2 linked regions of the Neurospora crassa OR74A genome follow. The protein of the gene in region 1 interacts with the protein of each later gene in a biochemical or structural test. Links are inferred from orthologs where the notes say so. Each region holds a gene or a part of one and is shown on either strand. Other genes may lie near its edges.

Region 1 (3,752 bases):
CGACGAAAATAAGAAATCGTTATCAAGTCTAATACTGCTTAGAGCAATGAGCCATCACTTGACCTCACCAATTTCTGTAGACACCTCTCTGGTCTCAGCGACGGGACCTCGCCGTACACTGGATCCTCCGACGCCGGAGTCGATTCGAAAATATCGATTAGTTTACCTACCCTACCCTGACCCTGACCATTGCATCTCAACACCCCAAGTCGGTCTCACCTTGAACACAACACCGTTGACCTCCTTGATCAGCCCAAATGACAATACAGTAAAAGACAAAAATCATAGGCTGTAAATGATTCCATTACCACTATTCCACCTCACTATTCATCCAATGACGCTACGGGTCAACAAGCCATCTACCAGTCATCCCACTCGTCCTTCTTGGAAGCTGCTGGGGGAGGAGCAGTGGAGCTACCGCTGCTTCCACCCTTGCCCATAACTGCTGTCCCGATTGAGCTACCGGCTGGCTTTCTCTGGTCGGCCGCGCTAGAGAAGTCATCCCAAAACGACCTCTTGCTCTCGTCAAAGTTGCTGCCACCACCGCCAGAGGGAACTGACCTATAGCCACCACCAGCGGAGTTGGAAGGTCCTCCCTCGACAAACCGGTTGAAACTCTCTGTCGCGGTTTTGGCGCCAGCCTGTGCTACAGTCTGTGCTGAAACGGCGGCTTGCGCTGCCGCAACACGGGCTTTTGCAGCGAGCTCTGATTCGGCTATCTATATTGGGCGGAAGAAGTCCAAATTAGCAAACATGTATCTCGAAGTGATCCAAGTAGATGTGTCCTGGGCCAATGTCCGACAGAGGGATGGTTTGTTGAGCGGAGACCAAGGATACATACCTGCTTAGCTGTAGGCTGGATATAACCCTCATTAACCGTCTTCGCCGTCTGGGTCACTGTCTTGGTAAACCATCCGAACCCTTTACTCAGCGCCGCCACGGGATCCTTTTGCAACTCATCGAGACCCGGCAAGCTTGCGCCGCCATCATTCTTTGGCTGCGACGACACTGTGTTCCCAAAGCCCTGATACTTTCCTCCCTGGCTAGGCGGCAGATTGTCCGGTCTGCTGGCGTTGGCAGCACCCAGTTTAGCAAAGTACTTGTCGTCCACCTTGATCGTCGTTCCCGGCTTAGGGCTGGCCGTCCTACTGCTCGTGCCGCTCAATGGCACCCCACCAGCCACGCTGCTTGGACTCTGACTTGTTTCCTGCTGCTGGGCCAGTGGCTTCTTCTCCCCAGGCACGTACTCCCTCCCCTCAACCTTGGCACTCAGCCTCTCCTTGTATTCTTCGCCAACATCGCCGCTGTACCGCTCCGCAATCGTCGCATCGTCCCAGCTGATTCCGCGCAACTTGGTGTCGGAATGGTTCTCGAAAAAGGTGCGCCAGGTGTCATTGCCGCCGAGCCGCATGCGCTCAATTTCGGCCTGCTTGAAGGCGTCCATGGAAACCGAGCGCACGAAGGAGATGTGCACGCCCAGGCCGCGATGAACGCCCGCACACGAGAGGCAGATAAAGATGCCGAACTTTGGTGAACACCATTGCGGGCTTGGGGCACCGCAGTCGCAGCAGATGTTGTTGTTGTTCTCCTTCTGCATCGCAGCGAGCTACAAGGGTCACAAGTCAGCTTGGAAGGTTCCAGTTGGCCCTTTGCGCCGCCACATCGCTTTTCCCCCTCTGGATCGTGCAGCTAATCTCACAAAGACAGCGATTGAACGGGTTGGACGCCTTGGGCGGGTTGGTCGGTCACATACCTTGGACTTCGTCTCCGGGTCTATCTCCCACATCCCTTTGGTAGCCATGGTGGGCAACTTGTACGTGCAATTGTGCGCGAACCGACCGGTTACGTGATTCCTCGCTGGGACGGCCTACTTGAGAGCAGAGTCTCGTCGAAGCAAATTGGAAGAAGAAGTTCGCCGTCTTTGGATTCCTTGCGCTATGTTGCGTCGCGTGATGTTTCGGATTACAGTAGGGGTTGTCTGGTGGACAATCAGTCAGACAGACAATTGGCGACTTGAATGATGAAGTCGCCCGCGCTATTGCAGGCACCCCCTGCCCTACGCTTCAGCAGTTGGTTTACCTCGGACGGCTACCTTCCTTCGTTTTAGTGGCACTGGAGCGACCAGCCAGGACGGAAACCCGACCCGAAGTGTTGGAAGATCGAGGCATGCTGATCATTAGGTCACGTTCCATCTACCCGACGAATTACTACAACTTGAGTTTGGGACTGCATTTTAGATTTGCTAAGATATGATCAGTTACGTGATTCAAGCAACAACCTAACCGAATTGAAATTCACAAGCCATAAGAGTATTCATCGAGGCCACAGTGCATGGTGCGTGTACACAAGCCAGCTCGTCCGTCCATCCAACCTTCAGGATCCTACCTTCCGTTATGTCGACCATTCATATCTACCTAGGTAGGTACCATGTTTTATGCAAAGGTCCAGACCTGGCCTTTTCTCATCATTCGTCACGCACTGCGAATAAAGATCAGGGGCGTTTCAGGGGACCGCTTGTTAACGGGGAGCTGCCCCTCTCTGGCCTGCAGGAACATCTGCAACTGTCCGTCCCCAACTTTGTCACAACCACCCATCAAGGCACGCAAGGCACGGGCAGTGGATCCATTAGTTCCCTCCAACACTACTTCTACGCCTCACAATTAGGTGATTCCCATGTTGAGGATGACTGGACACGTATCTATCACAAACCACTTTACCCGTTGGCGTTCCTATTAATTAAACATGACATATCAATGACTTCTTGGCCCGATCATGCTTATTTTCCTATTCCTAGACCGATTTGACTGACCATCTCCTGCAAACATGAGAGTTTGAAAACACTAGATGAATGTAAGCGACCCTGAGATAAAAGATGATCCATAACACATAAATGAAGAAGACAAGTCATGAAAAATATTAGATTTTTGTTGCCTGCAAAGAGCCGCAGGATAACGATGCCTGAAGTCTACCAGCGATTTGAGGCCTTTGCAAACCCCCATAACCCGTGACGCCAGACATGATCACATTATCCCACCGCCCAATCTTCCCGCTTTCATACCCACTTGCAGATCCCGCCATAAAAAGAAAATCATTCGTTCCGTGCCAAAATCGTGAGGGTAAAAATGCATGCGCCCAGTAAAACATAAGACATGTGTCGGTCGAGATTAAAGTAGTGTCTGTGACCGAAATCTTTATTAACTTGTGCGCACACTCATCTCGTCATCAAATGGAGTGTTTAAGCAGAGGCAGTGACAGCAGCGCCAGCCTGCTCGGTAGTGCCGTTGGTGGGGGCCTGGGCCTCGCCCTCGGGTTCGTTGGCCTCCTCGTCGGTCTTGTCGGGGCTATCGATGGCGACCTTGACAGCGATCTCGCGGCCCTCGATCTCCTTGCCGTTCATCTCAGCGACAGCCTTCTGCTGGAGCTCCTCCGAGGCGAGGGTAACGAAGCCGAAGCCACGGCCCTTGCGGGGCTCACCCCGGGCCTGAAGCTTCTTAATCATGAAGCGAGGGATGGGGCGAAGAGCAATCTTCGCGGAGGAAGGCTGGTAAGCAGCGAAAAGTTCCTTAAGCTGTGGAAAGAGTTAGCATGTCTCCAGTCATGGCATAGGTCGGCACAAAAACTCACCTTCTCCTCGGTCAGGTCGTAGGGAAGGTTGGCGACCATGACCTTGGTCTTGGAAGGAATACCGTCAGCCGGGGGGCCGCGCTCGCGGCGCTCACGGGGAGAGCGGTTGTGGGGCTTGCCGGCCTTGT
Region 2 (3,283 bases), on another chromosome or scaffold:
TCGCATTCCCAAGCTCCAGTTTTCGAAAAATGGAGGTGGATCAGAGCAACCAGGAAAAGAAGACCATCGTTGGGGGTGGAATATGGAAGAATCGTGAGAGCATTTAGAGGCCGAGACGGGTCTTGCGCCAGTGGCGACGCTTGGCGTTGTAGCTAGTTGTCTCTTGTTAGCATCCAGCGTCATGATGAAGCAGTCGCCATGCGTTCTTGAGTGCAGAAAGCTCGCGAGAGGGCATGTTGCGCCGGGTACAGCCGAGGCAGCTGGTTTGTTTTCCAGCTTCCCTCACCACCATCCCCGTCACTATCCATCCCTCTCCCTCTCCTCTGGCTGAACGCGACAGCAATGGGCGCTTATGGTGATATGTACCGGATGGTGTTGCCAGTGCGGAGGCGAATCCACTGGGGGATAGGCCTGTTCTGCTTCTGGGCCTTAGCAAGCTTCTGCTTGACACGGAAGGTCTTGTGGCTCTGTTTTCGCGATGCACCTCGTCAGCATAACTTGTCTTGCCGTCGTTCGAGCAGGTGAAGTCATGGACCCCTCCTCCATGCTTCAATCAATCGCTCTGCGATCATCATTTTGGGAATTCCGTGTCGCTGCCGTTTCTGGCATAGCAGGACGGCCAAAAATTCGACAGCAGAGCGATTCCGAGCATTCTCTATGCTCAACATGGTGGGACGTTACGTACCGGCATTTTGACGGTGTTGTCGAGTTACCGGTCGATTTGGCTGGTGTCGATGAGGTGGGTTAGAATATTTGGTGTGGGCTTTCAAAAACCAAGCAGAACACTAGGGCCCGAAAGTGCGCATGTGGCTGAGTCACGTGTGTGTCTGTGGCTCGTACTTGTGGCACAGGCTCATTCACTCTTGGAGTCCGCTCTCTGACCGGACAGAAGGTCCATTTGGGTCCAGAAGGGAGGCGCACGAGCCACGAGAAGCGGCTATCGGAGGTTTCCACGGTGCCGTCTCGCTGCCAATCGATTGCCGGGATGTTTGCAGTTGGGCTGGGCGCTTGGGGCGGCCTTGCCTCCCGGGACCCCTGAGTGCCGGCACGATCAAAGGAGCTCTTTGGCGGCATTGAGCGACGGCCTCTCTATGACAACGAGAGGAGCATCTTGAAGCAACCTAACCCAAAACACTTTTTTTTTTCGCAATACCACGGCGCAACAAACCCTCGCTTATCCTGTCTTCAACCGTGCGCACGGGAGCATCCGAAAGATACCAGCTGGGCTGACCGCGCTTCCGTTCGCTGCCTCCTCGATAATACACTACTCGCCGTCATCATTTCCATCGACTAGTACGGCCCGATCCGACACGTTAGAGCCCGATCTGTATCAAGGAATCGCCTTGCCTGGTCAAATCCTCTCCTCATCCGTCTAATTATCAACTGCCTCAATCATCACACTCCTACGAACTCAACGCGCTCTCAGTCTTCCGGGGCACTAGCCAACACGCAAAGATGGGTCAGAGCATGTCATGGCTGTCTAGCCTGTCCAACCTCTTTTGGACAAAGAAGGAGATCCGCATTCTGATATTGGGCCTCGATAATGCCGGAAAGACAACACTACTATACAGGCTCAAGGTAGGCCCACCTGTTGAAAAGCTGACGAACGGAAGCGCGCACAGTTCGGAGAGCTGACAACATGTTGTAGATTGGCGAGGTAGTAACCACGATACCAACAATCGGTTTCAACGTCGAATCAGTCACATACAAGAATCTCAACTTCAATGTGTGGGATCTGGGTGGTCAGACTAGCATCCGCCCGTACTGGAGGTGCTACTATGCGAACACGGCGGCGGTAATATTCGTTGTTGACTCGACCGATATGGAGCGATTGCAAACCGCGGCGGATGAGTTGGCCGCTATGTTGAATGAGGAAGAGCTGAAGGACGCTGCCCTTTTGGTGTTTGCCAACAAGCAAGATCAGCCAGGTGCAAAGGGGGCGGCAGATATCTCTCAGGCTCTCCGCCTGGGCGAGCTAAGGGACAGGAACTGGAGCATCATGGCCTGCAGTGCAGTGGAAGGGACAGGCATCACAGAGGGCATGGATTGGTTGGTGGTATGTTTAACCTCTTCTTTTGCTGCTCCCGGCCCGTTATTCTGTCTATGTGCTAACCAAGTGAGCAGCAAACCGTAAAAGAGGAGTAGTGGCCAAAGCAGGGAATGCGCAAACATCACCACCGGCTTTGAGATGACGAGGAGAATCTGTACAACAACAAATGACAACAACATCAACATTCGGGAATAGGTCGTACCGACGGAATTACATACCGGCACATGACTTGGGTATATCGGATACGTATGGCGGCGGCAGGCCGGGTTTCTCGGCGTTCTTGGGGGTTATGTCCCGTGGTGGTTGGTACCAGCGGATGCCTTGATGACAAACAAAACGACATAAGGGTTCAGAGATTTCTGCCTACATATATCAGCTTACGAGCTTTCTATAGCCTTCTTTTAATTAATGGACTGGCTCCGGCGACTATTCAACGTCGGATCGTCGGGTATTGAGACTTCAAGCACACAACAAAAAAGACGAAATTCGGACTCTTACAACATGTCTGCGCGTTGGGCAATATCCCGTTTCACACGACATATTCCCGACTCCGATATTACTTATATTCTCTTGCGCGGTGACTCTAAGCTTGGTCATCAGTTGACCTGGGTATTTGCGGCTCGAATTCCGAGTGAGCCCAGAATAGTGCTTCAGGCAAAGGTTCAAAGCCAAGTCCAAATTGAGCCAACAGTACACACCAGTGAGGTGATGCTCAGCCATCGTGCTCACAGTCTAGAATTTCCTCATTGCAAATTATAAACTCTTACAACGCGGGAGTGTACTTTCCGGTGGTCGTCCTTCATGCCACTTTTCAACATGCGATGACCAACTTATCTACGAGATCAGACCGGATCTAACTTTTCCTCAATGCCCATAGAGGTTTGCAATTTTTTTTTTTTTTTTTCCTTTTCTTTCTTACCCTTTGTCTTCTTCCTCCCGCTTATCTTCTCTTATGTCAATCGAAACATTTGGAGGGAATTCGGATATTCGTGATTCAGCCGGGAAGAGATTCTGCCCAATACATAGGGAAGCGATTTGAAGGTGGTTTCACTAGTTTCTTAGGCTTCGTTTGACCTATGCTGTTTATCTCAGTAACTCCGTCTTCACCATCTGGCAGCTGCCCCAACTACTTTCACTATATGCTCTCATGCGAGGCGGCGTTCGATCCGCTGATCAAACCTATGTTATGGAGGTTACTGTTGAACCAGTGAAATTGTCCAAAGAAGCTAAGAA

What was found.
Region 2: the proteins of NCU07734 (region 1) and NCU08989 form a complex in vitro, tested with the Saccharomyces cerevisiae proteins (2 studies listed by BioGRID, with this or other methods). The link is inferred for Neurospora crassa OR74A from reciprocal best matches to the Saccharomyces cerevisiae genes GCS1 and ARL1.

Annotation. Positions count from the first base shown.
Region 1 is NC_026504.1:2,054,730-2,058,481, reverse strand, and holds the start of NCU07734 (zinc finger protein gcs1), read right to left. Parts: upstream 2,188-3,752; 5' UTR 1,802-2,187; coding exon 1,754-1,801; intron 1,607-1,753; coding exon 842-1,606; intron 720-841; coding exon 360-719; 3' UTR 1-359. Other genes in the region: NCU07735 (Grp1p), read right to left, coding at 3,236-3,568, 3,625-3,752. UniProt on the Saccharomyces cerevisiae protein: GTPase-activating protein (GAP) for ARF1 and ARF2. Involved in intracellular vesicular transport. Required for transport from the trans-Golgi network.
Region 2 is NC_026503.1:4,145,082-4,148,364, reverse strand, and holds NCU08989 (ADP-ribosylation factor 1), read left to right. Parts: upstream 1-916; 5' UTR 917-1,455; coding exon 1,456-1,578; intron 1,579-1,648; coding exon 1,649-2,056; intron 2,057-2,124; coding exon 2,125-2,145; 3' UTR 2,146-2,656; downstream 2,657-3,283. Other genes in the region: NCU08990 (60S ribosomal protein L39), read right to left, coding at 104-152, 367-467, 686-691. UniProt on the Saccharomyces cerevisiae protein: Recruits golgins such as IMH1 to the Golgi. Can bind and hydrolyze GTP. May be involved in trafficking events within the endosomal system.